Saccharomyces cerevisiae S288C: one gene and its partners. Changing the gene in region 2 together with the main gene of any one other region gives a genetic interaction. Each region holds a gene or a part of one and is shown on either strand. Other genes may lie near its edges. The genes, in order: KAR4, KSS1, ERG2 and OCH1.

Evidence for each region.
Region 1: mutations in KSS1 (region 2) and KAR4 together harm fitness more than expected from each alone (negative genetic interaction), as found in Saccharomyces cerevisiae (2 studies listed by BioGRID).
Region 3: mutations in KSS1 (region 2) and ERG2 together harm fitness more than expected from each alone (negative genetic interaction), as found in Saccharomyces cerevisiae (2 studies listed by BioGRID).
Region 4: of KSS1 (region 2) and OCH1, extra expression of one is lethal in a mutant of the other (dosage lethality), as found in Saccharomyces cerevisiae (one study listed by BioGRID).

Annotation. Positions count from the first base shown.
Region 1 is NC_001135.5:25,932-29,518, forward strand, and holds KAR4 (Kar4p), read left to right. Parts: upstream 1-1,997; coding exon 1,998-3,005; downstream 3,006-3,587. Other genes in the region: PRD1 (metalloendopeptidase), read left to right, coding at 1-975; PEX34 (Pex34p), read right to left, coding at 994-1,428. UniProt on the Saccharomyces cerevisiae protein: Component of the MIS complex, a complex that mediates N6-methyladenosine (m6A) methylation of meiotic mRNAs and is required for initiation of meiosis, progression through the meiotic divisions and sporulation.
Region 2 is NC_001139.9:573,564-577,086, forward strand, and holds KSS1 (mitogen-activated serine/threonine-protein kinase KSS1), read left to right. Parts: upstream 1-1,834; coding exon 1,835-2,941; downstream 2,942-3,523. Other genes in the region: YGR039W (uncharacterized protein), read left to right, coding at 1,325-1,636. UniProt on the Saccharomyces cerevisiae protein: Together with closely related FUS3, KSS1 is the final kinase in the signal transduction cascade regulating activation/repression of the mating and filamentation pathways, induced by pheromone and nitrogen/carbon limitation, respectively.
Region 3 is NC_001145.3:665,871-668,705, reverse strand, and holds ERG2 (C-8 sterol isomerase ERG2), read right to left. Parts: upstream 1,170-2,835; coding exon 501-1,169; downstream 1-500. Other genes in the region: TOM complex pore protein TOM40, read right to left, coding at 1-214; DNA repair protein RAD14, read left to right, coding at 1,662-1,688, 1,773-2,835. UniProt on the Saccharomyces cerevisiae protein: C-8 sterol isomerase; part of the third module of ergosterol biosynthesis pathway that includes the late steps of the pathway. ERG2 catalyzes the reaction which results in unsaturation at C-7 in the B ring of sterols and thus converts fecosterol to episterol.
Region 4 is NC_001139.9:424,862-428,864, reverse strand, and holds OCH1 (initiation-specific alpha-1,6-mannosyltransferase), read left to right. Parts: upstream 1-2,060; coding exon 2,061-3,503; downstream 3,504-4,003. Other genes in the region: VIR1 (Vir1p), read right to left, coding at 1-264; PNC1 (nicotinamidase), read left to right, coding at 918-1,568; YGL039W (carbonyl reductase (NADPH-dependent)), read right to left, coding at 3,858-4,003. UniProt on the Saccharomyces cerevisiae protein: Mannosyltransferase involved in outer chain elongation of asparagine-linked oligosaccharides of the type Man(9)GlcNAc(2). Adds the first alpha-1,6-mannose to the Man(8)GlcNAc(2) and Man(9)GlcNAc(2), but not Man(5)GlcNAc(2), endoplasmic reticulum intermediates.

The DNA of each region.
Region 1 (3,587 bases), on a different chromosome or scaffold from region 2:
ACTGGTATGCTGGAAATATACGAAACATTGTTTAATTTGAAGTTTATCGAGACGAAAGATTCTCAAAACAAATCTGTTTGGCATGACGACGTCAAACAAATCGCCGTTTGGAATATGGATGATCCAAAGTCTCCAAACTTTGTTGGTTGGATTTATTTCGATTTACATCCTCGTGATGGTAAATATGGCCACGCTGCCAATTTTGGTTTATCGTCATCATTCATGATTGATGACACCACAAGATCGTATCCGGTTACTGCGTTGGTTTGCAATTTCTCCAAATCTACGAAGGATAAACCTTCTCTACTGAAGCATAACGAAATAGTGACCTTTTTCCATGAATTGGGCCATGGTATCCATGACCTGGTGGGACAAAACAAGGAATCGAGGTTTAATGGCCCCGGATCTGTTCCATGGGATTTTGTGGAGGCACCTTCCCAAATGTTAGAATTTTGGACTTGGAATAAGAATGAATTAATCAACCTCTCATCACATTACAAAACGGGCGAAAAAATTCCAGAATCTTTGATCAATTCATTGATCAAAACTAAACACGTAAATGGTGCTTTATTCACTCTAAGACAATTACATTTTGGGTTATTTGATATGAAAGTACATACTTGTAAAGACTTGCAAAACCTGTCAATTTGCGATACCTGGAACCAATTGAGACAGGATATTTCTTTGATTTCTAATGGTGGTACGTTATCCAAGGGTTATGATTCATTTGGCCATATAATGTCAGACTCTTACTCTGCCGGTTATTACGGTTATCTATGGGCGGAAGTCTTTGCAACTGATATGTATCACACCAAATTCGCTAAGGATCCGTTAAATGCCAAGAATGGGATACAATACCGTGATATTGTGTTGGCTCGTGGTGGCCTTTATGATATTAATGATAATCTGAAAGAATTTTTGGGTAGGGAACCTTCTAAGGATGCTTTCTTGAAGGAGCTGGGCTTACAGAACTAAATTCGTTCAAGCATAAAATTATACAATTATTCTACAAAGTGTTATTATGTTAGATAATCTTTTAAATAACCTCGTCCCTGGATAGATTAAAACCATTAAATAGCTCAAATCTTGGAGTAAAGCAGCAGTAATATGTCTGATATGTTCGTTATATTTTTTCTTGAAGTTTATCAACTTATCCTTTACTAGACCATTTCCCTCCCCATCCAATCGTTGATCGATTTTAAATTTCACCTTGCATAATTTTATTAATTTCCATACACATTTTATCACTGAAATGCACGAGTAACACAGCCAAACTTTCCGTAATAGCCCACTTACATATAACTTATCGTTGACCACGCCTAGGTTTTCCAATACTGCGAAGAAATCAAGCAGCGAACTTACACCACTCCATATATTCTCCCATATATCTTTTGCACTGATTTCAGCCGTATTTTTCTTCGAAACCATTCAACTTTCTTTTCTTCTTCCTTTACTTTTATTCATCTCCTCTTTACTTCTTACCTCAGAGTCGAACATTGAAATCATTTCCCGCGAATTTTTCGATTATAATTACCCTTTCTACTTAACAAGAAGCAATAAGAGCAAAGGGGCGAAATGCTTGTCCCATACTTTGGCTTTTGGATGTGACATTAGGAGCCTTATCTCCTCTTAATGCCTTAAGTCAAAAAATAGTTTTTGGGATATATCTTGTGATCAAATGCTTTGCAAAAGGGTAAAACAGCGTTTACAATAGGATAGCCAAAAGTAAAAAAAAAAAAAAAAAAAAAAAGAAGGAAGTTAGTATCGAGCTCAAACAATTTTAGTTTTGCTGGACATATTTTCAGTTTCATTACTGTATATTTGCAGCTTGGTTTTTGTCGCTCTGTAGTCTTGTTTCACACTTCGTCATTTCCGAGTTTCATCTTGCGACATAACTTGTTTCAACTTTTCAAGTGCGACTTTTTGTTAAATATTATGACATAGAAGAAAGTAGAACAGCCATTATAAAACAAAAGAGAAGTGAGAATACTATTAAGATGGCATTCCAAGATCCAACTTACGACCAGAATAAAAGCAGACACATCAACAACAGTCACTTGCAAGGGCCAAACCAGGAAACAATAGAAATGAAATCTAAACACGTATCATTCAAACCCTCTAGAGACTTCCATACAAACGATTACTCGAATAACTACATTCATGGGAAGTCGCTACCGCAACAGCATGTTACTAATATTGAGAATAGGGTTGATGGCTATCCAAAACTTCAGAAATTATTTCAGGCGAAAGCTAAACAAATAAATCAATTTGCCACTACGCCATTTGGGTGTAAAATCGGAATAGATTCCATTGTTCCAACGTTGAATCACTGGATACAGAACGAAAATTTGACTTTCGACGTGGTGATGATTGGCTGCTTAACAGAAAATCAGTTTATTTACCCAATTTTAACCCAATTGCCATTGGATAGATTGATCTCCAAACCAGGTTTCCTGTTCATCTGGGCCAATTCTCAAAAAATCAATGAACTTACTAAACTTTTGAATAATGAAATATGGGCTAAAAAGTTTAGAAGAAGTGAAGAATTGGTTTTTGTTCCTATTGACAAGAAATCACCGTTTTATCCAGGTTTAGATCAGGACGATGAAACGTTGATGGAAAAAATGCAATGGCACTGTTGGATGTGTATCACAGGTACAGTAAGGAGGTCTACAGATGGACATCTTATTCATTGTAACGTAGACACTGACTTGAGTATCGAAACGAAGGACACCACTAATGGTGCTGTACCATCCCATTTGTATCGTATTGCAGAAAACTTCTCTACCGCGACTAGACGATTACATATTATTCCTGCAAGGACTGGTTACGAGACACCCGTCAAAGTAAGACCTGGCTGGGTTATAGTGAGCCCAGATGTTATGTTGGATAACTTCTCACCCAAGAGATATAAAGAAGAGATAGCTAATTTAGGTTCGAATATCCCATTAAAAAATGAGATTGAGCTGTTAAGACCAAGAAGTCCAGTACAAAAAGCACAATAAAGCATCAACACATAAATCCTTGCTTAGCTCAATTAAATATACTAGTAAATAAGTATATAAACAATAATTTTGCATTTTATTTTACTGGAAACTCTTCTCAAAACCAAATTGCGCAAGGATTGATTCAGTACAATTATGCAAACTCGAAAAGTAAATAAACAAAAAGATACAGTTGAGTGAAAGGTAAATAAACATTATTCTACTTGATTTTCCTCTGTTTTTTCCATTTTTCTTTTTTGTCTTTTCGTGTTCTAGCGTGTTCACTTTTTCAGCCATGTAATTACTTAAATAGGAAGTTTACACGATGTTCTCGCATAAAAAGCTGGAAGTGCAGAACAAAGAGGAAGAAAATAGGAACAGAGAATTTGTTTGTTTATTTGTTTGTTTGCTTGTTTGTTTGTTTGTTTTGATTTGAAGTCGAGGTACTTATTCGAAATAATTATTTTGCCCAGGGTTTTGGATAGTTTTTTGTTTTCCAATTAGATTTTTAGAAATATTTTATCATAGTTTTTTGTTTATTTATTTGTTTATTTATTTGTTGATTTGTTTATTTATTTGTTGGTTTGTTTATTTAAGTTTGTA
Region 2 (3,523 bases):
AAATGTATCAGCAGATGTACTTCCGTCGTACTCAAGGTTGGCAAGAGCTATCCAATCCTTTAATTCTTGATTGTTAGTTTGCATTTTGGACACACTTTTACAAAGGACTGTAAGGATGTCAGCATAATTAATTTCTAAAATTTGTTTTACCCATGTTGGCAATAAATGAAATGGGGCAAATGCTTGGAAGGTATTGTATATATACGCATGTTCTTCATAAGTCATTTGTCTTTTGATTTCACCCTGGTCATTTGGAATGATGTCACCGAGATTAGAGTTCTTCAAAAATCTGATGTAAAATTTAACCCATGTAGAAAAGTTTTCTTCTGATGTTAAAGTGTGTGGTGGTAAGACGTTATTTCCCACCTTTGTCTTAGCTTGAGGTATTTCAGAGTGTTGATTTTTTAAATCGATTGGATCAGGTGAGGAAGTACTCAGTGGTGGGATATACTGTGGCAACGGATAGTGTGGGTCCGGTTGATAATACGCAGGTGACGTTTGATAATGTGAACACGTCATCATAGATGGTTGTTGGTAATGTGCCCAGTTAGAGGCCATAGCTTTGTTTGGGGTCATCATGCCGTGCTGTTGGTACTGTCCATTCTGTGGAGGTGGTACTGAAGCAGGTTGAGGAGAGACATGATGATGGTTCTCTGGAACAGCTGATGTCCCAGGTGTTGTCTCTTGTTGAGAATTAACCTTAGTGGAATCTCTATCAAATTCCGGTAAATTGGAAGCTGAAACGGCTAACGGATCTTGATTTTATGGGACTTCCTTAGAAGTAACCGAAGCATAGGCGCTACCATGAAGAGAATGTGGATTTTGATGTAATTGTTGGGATTCCATTTTTTATAAGGCGATAATATTAGGTATGTAGATATACTAGAAGTTCTCCTCGAGGATTTAGGAATCCATAAAAGGGAATCTGCAATTCTACACAATTCTATAAATATTATTATCATCATTTTATATGTTAATATTCATTGATCCTATTACATTATCAATCCTTGCGTTTCAGCTTCCACTAATTTAGATGACTATTTTTCATCATTTGCGTCATCTTCTAACACCGTATATGATAATATACTAGTAACGTAAATACTAGTTAGTAGATGATAGTTGATTTTTATTCCAACAGTATTTATGTTTTGTCATTCTTTTCTACATAATCTTGAAACTAGGTAGATCTACAATTGAAAAGTAAATACTAACATTATTTACTAAATTTAAGTTAGAAATCGGCACGAAAAAAATTTGACAGATTACGAGAGTCCAGCCAAAATATGAGTATATTACTATTTCCCCTTGGTGAAAGAAATGAAAGATGTTATTTTTTACCGGCTTAGTAATACTGAGCTACTTACTTGGGGGAAAGAAAGATTGGCTACTTATTATGTATGAAGCCTCAGATTACCTTGAATTCCTCAACCGTTTGAGCAGTATGCTCTTCAAATTCGAACTTTTTGAACATCTTTCCTCCACATTCCTGATTTTTTCACATTCAAAACGCGCTGTGAAGCTGTTAGAAATTTACAGATCGAGGCATATTTCTATATATAATGTATTTTTATTAAGACACCCAAAGTACTTCCAATCTGTAGATATTGCACTTTATCTGACCAGAAGCCAGACTTGAACAGTTACATATTGTGCTTTGCAGTCGTTAAATTTCCCGAACTGTTTTCGTATTTTTTTTTCTTTTCCTCTTTTCCACTGGATCAGATCAAAAGCCGACTAAAAATTTGGCAATTTAAAGAAAGCATCTTTTAAAGATAGAAAAGGTTATTTCAACAAAAAAGTATCTTTTCTTCACTTTTCTTTCAACAATTCAAAGATGGCTAGAACCATAACTTTTGATATCCCTTCCCAATATAAACTCGTAGATTTAATAGGTGAGGGAGCGTACGGAACAGTATGTTCAGCAATTCATAAGCCTTCCGGCATAAAGGTAGCTATCAAGAAAATACAACCGTTTAGCAAAAAATTGTTTGTTACAAGAACTATACGTGAGATCAAGCTTTTACGGTATTTCCATGAACACGAAAACATAATAAGTATATTGGATAAAGTAAGGCCAGTATCCATAGACAAACTAAACGCTGTTTATTTAGTCGAAGAGTTGATGGAAACCGATTTACAAAAAGTAATTAATAATCAGAATAGCGGGTTTTCCACTTTAAGTGATGACCATGTTCAATACTTTACATACCAAATCCTCAGAGCCTTAAAGTCTATTCACAGTGCACAAGTTATCCATAGAGACATAAAGCCATCAAACCTGTTACTAAATTCCAATTGTGATCTCAAAGTCTGCGATTTTGGACTAGCGAGGTGTTTAGCTAGCAGTAGCGATTCAAGAGAAACATTGGTAGGATTCATGACGGAGTACGTCGCAACGCGATGGTACAGGGCACCCGAGATAATGCTAACTTTTCAAGAGTACACAACTGCGATGGATATATGGTCATGCGGATGCATTTTGGCTGAAATGGTCTCCGGGAAGCCTTTGTTCCCAGGCAGAGACTATCATCATCAATTATGGCTAATTCTAGAAGTCTTGGGAACTCCATCTTTCGAAGACTTTAATCAGATCAAATCCAAGAGGGCTAAAGAGTATATAGCAAACTTACCTATGAGGCCACCCTTGCCATGGGAGACCGTCTGGTCAAAGACCGATCTGAATCCAGATATGATAGATTTACTAGACAAAATGCTTCAATTCAATCCTGACAAAAGAATAAGCGCAGCAGAAGCTTTAAGACACCCTTACCTGGCAATGTACCATGACCCAAGTGATGAGCCGGAATATCCTCCACTTAATTTGGATGATGAATTTTGGAAACTGGATAACAAGATAATGCGTCCGGAAGAGGAGGAAGAAGTGCCCATAGAAATGCTCAAAGACATGCTTTACGATGAACTAATGAAGACCATGGAATAGTATTCACAAGAACATTTCTGCCATACTTCTAAAATTTCCCTATATTCAGCTTAGCAGTGACACGTTGTGGTCTGTAGGTCAATATGTAAGTAAGAAACTTCAACTCACATATGCACGATGCATGCCAATGGAAAAATGCAAGGAACGAAATGGCGCCACGGCAACAAGTTTTTTTTTTTCGCCAGCAGAAGTACACGAAATGCGGCTTCATGAGCCTCTTCACTGCTTTGCCTAAACGGGAAATGCAGAGAAAAACCAGCCATCGCGTGTGCTTGGAGAGCTGACGCGACTGTAATCAAAGAGGCGATATCAACACCTTTTATCCAGCACTATTCAACAGTGAATGGGCTCCCAAGTAAGTCTTGGCATTGTGCTTTCTATTCTTAAGTATTAAGTAGAAGTTTTGTTTACTGGGTTTGTTTATTCCTGGCTAGATGTTCGCATTCGTTTTCTAGTTGACCATATTTACCAAATATTCACAACTAATACCCAGCCAAGGTAGTCTAAAAGCTAATTTCTCTAAAAGGGAGAAAGTTGGTGATTTTTTATCTCGCATTATTATATATGCAAGAATAGTTAAGG
Region 3 (2,835 bases), on a different chromosome or scaffold from region 2:
GGGAGACTTCCTTATTCAGGTTTTCCACGGTACCGGGATTGACCAGCTCCAAAGATTGTCTGTGAGAATGCAATTGTTTGTACGTATCCACAACAAAGCTAGATATTGGGTTTGAGGAGAAGAAATTCCCCTTGGATTGCTTCGCAGTCAAAGGAGAAAGGGCCGGGATAGTGGGAATTTGAGAGGCCTCTGCTAATGGAGTTGGTGCAGACATGATTCACGTCGGTTATTGGTAGTCTTTTATTGTTTTGCACGATGGTTAAAAGGCCTTATACGCATACACCGCTTTCAAAGAATTGAAGATTGAGTTCATGTCCACCAAAAGACGCCTTTTTCACTTTTTGCAAACGCCGAATATATCCGTCGTCGTAGGTGATAAAAAGCTAAAGAGAATATAAACAATAGATAATAATAATAATAATAATAATAGTAATAGTAATAATAATAATAGTTATATTATAATGGACTACCGCATGACTGATTTCGTGAGGTCGGGCAGCTTAGAACTTTTTGTTTTGCAACAAGTTCTTACCCATGTCCCTGGCAGTCAGGTAGACAGTTCTATATAGAGTGTATAAATCAAGAGTACTGGAGAAAGTGTCCAAAAACCCGAATGGCAACATACATGGAATCCAGCCTTGAGCCAATTCAAGGGCAAAGGAACCACCTGGCATGCTGTATTGCTTGGCGTATCCCTTCTTCAAGTGATGAGTCATACCAGGAGTGTAAACTTCGGCTTCAGTGGCATATGGCAATGCTGCGATTTGCGTACCATGTAAGATGGTAAAATAGTCGTCAGCAAAGTGAACACCTGTGTGCCCTTCAGTACCAACAGCGGTTCCGAATAGAATTAAGTACTCGGATACGGAAGCGTGTAGGATGATCATTTGGCCCATCGCACCACCAGCATTGTTGAAGACCCATTCTTCTTTGACGTACCTGTTGATGTATTCGTCCCCGTAATGAGAGGCAAGTGCGTCTCTGACATCCTGTAACAGGTCTTCAGTGGATAAACCTTCTGCTGCGTTGTGTTTGCTAATCACCGAGTTACATATTTCGTTCAAAGTTTTTGGATCGAACATGTAATTGGTTGGCAACCAGGTAGTGAACAATACGTTCATAATGTAGCCTACAACACCAATCAACAAAAGGAGTGGGAAAAACTTCATGGCTATAATGGTCTGGGCTAGTCTTAGTTTGATTGAGCGACAAGAGAGATCTGAACCCAGTGTCAAACGTTACCGCTTCTTTCTCTTATATACCATGGCGCTGCAGATCTATCCAAATTCTTCCATACTGAAAATCATCCAAACGAGAACGATAGCACCGGTAGTTTTCCTTGCGGCTTATACGAGGGCCGTGGTTCGATTCTGCCCTGGAGCGTAAGGGCAGGAATGTGCATTGCATAAGATCATAATGGGATACTTCGTTGATAATAAGCAGAATCAACATAGCAGACTGCTAGTGGCATACTCCACAACCCTTGTTTTTTTTTTTTTTTTTGTTTGAATAACTGTACTTCTATAGAAGCTCTATCTACAGCATGTTTGACGTTTGCTAAGTTGTAGGGAGAAAAGAGGAAAGTGAAAAGAAGGTAAGGAATTTATCGGAACTAGAAAAAGAGTTTGGATCTTCGTAGTGAAGGTATCGAACGTAACGCTATGACTCCCGAACAAAAGGCCAAACTAGTATGTGTGAAAATGATTCTGTGTTTGTATTTTAACCGTGGGTTTCTTTTTACTAACAATTTAACGATGAGATGAGCTGTGCAGGAGGCTAACAGGAAATTAGCAATAGAACGGTTAAGAAAAAGGGGAATACTGAGTAGCGACCAATTGAATCGAATAGAAAGTAGGAATGAACCTTTAAAAACCCGGCCTCTCGCAGTTACTAGTGGCAGCAATCGGGATGATAATGCAGCAGCCGCAGTACATGTGCCAAATCATAATGGACAACCGTCTGCGCTTGCTAACACTAACACTAACACTACTTCACTTTATGGTAGCGGAGTAGTTGATGGAAGTAAAAGGGATGCGTCGGTACTCGACAAAAGGCCAACGGATAGAATCAGACCTAGCATAAGGAAACAAGATTACATTGAGTACGATTTTGCCACCATGCAGAACTTGAATGGTGGTTATATCAACCCTAAGGACAAGCTTCCAAATTCTGACTTTACCGATGACCAAGAATTTGAATCTGAGTTTGGATCTAAAAAGCAGAAGACACTACAGGACTGGAAAAAGGAACAACTTGAACGGAAAATGCTGTACGAAAATGCACCTCCTCCAGAGCATATTTCAAAGGCGCCGAAATGTATTGAATGTCATATTAATATTGAGATGGATCCTGTGCTACATGATGTGTTCAAGTTACAAGTTTGTAAACAGTGTTCTAAGGAGCATCCAGAAAAGTATGCACTACTGACGAAAACAGAATGTAAGGAAGATTACTTTTTAACAGACCCCGAATTGAATGATGAGGATCTCTTTCATAGACTAGAAAAGCCGAACCCTCATTCGGGGACATTTGCAAGAATGCAACTATTTGTTAGATGTGAAGTGGAAGCCTTTGCGTTCAAGAAATGGGGTGGAGAAGAAGGTTTAGATGAGGAATGGCAACGTCGTGAAGAAGGAAAGGCTCACAGAAGGGAGAAAAAATACGAAAAGAAAATCAAGGAAATGCGACTGAAAACAAGAGCTCAAGAATATACTAATAGATTAAGAGAAAAGAAGCATGGGAAAGCCCATATTCATCATTTTAGTGATCCAGTTGATGGAGGTATTGATGAAGACGGTTATCAAATTCAAAGAAGAAGATGTACAGACTGCGGGC
Region 4 (4,003 bases), 150 kb from region 2:
AACGGCTGACTGCAAAAGGGGAGAAAAAACGTCTAACTCCCGCAGTTCCGACTCAAAATCTTTTACAGAAGAGCCTGAAATTGGCAGATACTTAAAAGAGTTTATGAGCTTGAAGGCTATTTCAACAGGATCATTAATGTGACTGTCGATCGAAGCTAATTTATGGTAGGCCTTTAAAATAGCTTGCAAAAGAGCGTCTACGGTGTCTTGGGAGACCCGCGAGGCTGCAGTCACCAGTGGTGCATGGCCAGCACACTTCTGCATTCTGGTGGTGAGGGTTCTGTACTGCTTATATTGTTGCTATTGGTTAATTATGCCTTTTGTTTTCCTCTTTCCCTACGATCCTCCTTATATGAAACAGAAAAAACTGCCGCCGAGATCCAAGCAGAAAAAAATATATTAAGTCAAGGATCAAGGTGGCACACAGGGTAATGAAATTTTTATATTATATATATAAATAAATATCCATATGTCATTGTTAACGTCTTCCGTTGCTAAAATCATACGTCGTTATATACGTTATCGCTTTATACGTGTTAGCTCGATATCATTTGGGACGTGCCGAAATCTCGCGGAATGTTTCCGAAAAAAAAGAAAGAAAAAAAAAAAGGGGCAGGCCCCACAAAGGGGCGCCGCGTGGTGTTACGTACTGGAAAAGTGAATTATGAAAAAAAAGTTCTTCAAGGGGCAGGGGTTTCCGTTTGGCCCACTATGTATGTGTCTCCAGATACGATTATGATGTGCTAATAGTTATTAATAAAACTATATATATATATATTACTCATATATATATTTTCATATACAATGTACTCTTAACTGGTACCTGGTTGGATGCAATAGGTGAGGAAACCTTCAAACAAAACTTTCTTTTACGATTATCTATATCTTTGTTAGAAAGAATAAAATACAGTACAAAAATGAAGACTTTAATTGTTGTTGATATGCAAAATGATTTTATTTCACCTTTAGGTTCCTTGACTGTTCCAAAAGGTGAGGAATTAATCAATCCTATCTCGGATTTGATGCAAGATGCTGATAGAGACTGGCACAGGATTGTGGTCACCAGAGATTGGCACCCTTCCAGACATATTTCGTTCGCAAAGAACCATAAAGATAAAGAACCCTATTCAACATACACCTACCACTCTCCAAGGCCAGGCGATGATTCCACGCAAGAGGGTATTTTGTGGCCCGTACACTGTGTGAAAAACACCTGGGGTAGTCAATTGGTTGACCAAATAATGGACCAAGTGGTCACTAAGCATATTAAGATTGTCGACAAGGGTTTCTTGACTGACCGTGAATACTACTCCGCCTTCCACGACATCTGGAACTTCCATAAGACCGACATGAACAAGTACTTAGAAAAGCATCATACAGACGAGGTTTACATTGTCGGTGTAGCTTTGGAGTATTGTGTCAAAGCCACCGCCATTTCCGCTGCAGAACTAGGTTATAAGACCACTGTCCTGCTGGATTACACAAGACCCATCAGCGATGATCCCGAAGTCATCAATAAGGTTAAGGAAGAGTTGAAGGCCCACAACATCAATGTCGTGGATAAATAAGAGCTGAATAATACTTCTTCAACCTGATGAACTAGGGTGGCTTGCAAATGCACAAATCTATATAACAATATCTATATATATGTATGTACACCGAATTCCGACATATGGAGAAGGAATAATAAAATATTAACTAACGTCTTTACGCCTCTCTTTATTCTTTTTTGGGTAAATTGCTTAAACTATTTGGCCGGCCCACCGCGAAAAGATTTGGCTGGGCCTCAACTAAACGCGCCTTTTTGGACTTTTCACGTTGCAGGGACAGCAACGTCAAAACTTCTGCATTAAGGTAGTTTGGTAGCTTGGTAGCCACTTTAGTATTTCTGCCTTCTTCGAATACCGACATTATTTCTCGCCAATCCACATTCTCTCTCCCCATCTGCATCCTTTTATATTTAATAGGGATAGGTTGTTTTAGTTCTTTGATTCCGTTTTCATTTCAAGAGCAATAATAGCAATTTGGAAAAAGAAAGCAAGTAAAAGAAAGAAGAGATCATGTCTAGGAAGTTGTCCCACCTGATCGCTACAAGGAAATCAAAAACAATAGTCGTAACCGTACTTCTTATTTATTCTTTGTTGACATTTCACTTGTCAAACAAAAGGCTGCTTTCTCAGTTTTACCCTAGCAAAGATGATTTCAAGCAAACTCTTCTCCCTACGACTTCTCATTCACAAGATATAAATTTGAAGAAACAAATTACAGTTAACAAGAAAAAAAATCAATTGCATAATTTACGTGATCAATTATCGTTTGCGTTTCCCTACGACTCTCAGGCCCCCATCCCGCAAAGGGTGTGGCAGACCTGGAAAGTCGGCGCAGATGATAAGAATTTTCCCTCTTCGTTCAGAACCTATCAAAAAACATGGTCTGGTTCGTATTCACCGGATTACCAATATTCTCTGATTTCGGATGATTCTATTATCCCTTTTTTGGAGAATCTTTACGCACCCGTTCCGATAGTCATCCAAGCGTTTAAATTGATGCCTGGAAATATCCTAAAGGCAGATTTTTTAAGGTACCTATTATTATTTGCAAGAGGTGGTATTTACTCAGATATGGATACTATGCTTTTGAAGCCAATTGATTCATGGCCTTCTCAGAATAAGTCATGGCTAAACAACATAATAGATTTGAATAAACCTATTCCTTATAAGAACTCAAAGCCCTCACTTCTCTCAAGTGATGAGATATCACACCAGCCAGGTTTGGTCATCGGCATTGAGGCAGATCCGGACAGAGATGATTGGAGTGAATGGTATGCTCGTAGGATCCAGTTTTGTCAATGGACTATCCAAGCCAAACCAGGTCACCCAATTCTAAGAGAATTGATCTTAAATATTACTGCAACGACTTTGGCGAGCGTACAAAACCCAGGAGTTCCTGTCAGTGAAATGATTGATCCAAGATTTGAAGAAGACTACAACGTAAACTATAGGCACAAAAGACGTCATGATGAGACCTACAAACACTCCGAATTGAAAAATAACAAAAATGTTGATGGCTCAGATATAATGAATTGGACGGGTCCAGGTATTTTCTCCGACATTATTTTCGAATACATGAACAATGTGCTCCGATACAATAGCGATATCTTGTTAATCAACCCAAACCTAAACAAGAACGACGAAGAAGGTAGTGAGAGTGCCACCACACCAGCAAAAGATGTTGATAACGATACGCTGTCCAAATCAACAAGAAAATTTTATAAGAAAATATCAGAGTCTTTGCAATCGTCAAATTCAATGCCCTGGGAATTCTTCTCTTTTTTGAAAGAACCAGTTATCGTTGATGATGTGATGGTTCTACCAATAACAAGTTTTTCACCAGATGTGGGGCAGATGGGCGCCCAGTCTAGTGACGACAAAATGGCTTTTGTAAAGCACATGTTTAGCGGGAGCTGGAAAGAAGATGCTGATAAAAATGCAGGTCATAAATAACGAGGCTCTCCTTTCATCATACCCTCTCTAAATAAAATTTATTCCTAGTTATTCCTTTCTTCTTCATATCCTTAATCATGCATTCACTGCCATGTGCAAATAAAGGCTCTTGTGGTAGAAACTTTTAGCTCAAACGTGGTAAAACTATCTCAACGTCCTTCCGTAGACAACTGGTGAGCAGTGCTTCTGTAACACTGCAGATCTCCAATGATAAATCGATACCGTACTAACTGCCCGCACTATAATGAACTCTTTGTATCCGTAACTATTTAAAATATTCATTCATTTCTATAAGCTATATGTTTATATTTAGATTAGAGGGGTTAAAAGAAAGTTTTTCTCGAAAGCTTAATTTTAGCTTTTACTTTGAACTTCTAGTAATTGCGAGGCAGTATCGACAATGCAATCTCTGAACTTATTAAATTGGAATCCTAATAAATTTTTGGTTTTGCGGTTGTCGCACTTGCAGCAGTTTTTTGTCAAAAAGGTTGAGCCGCTAC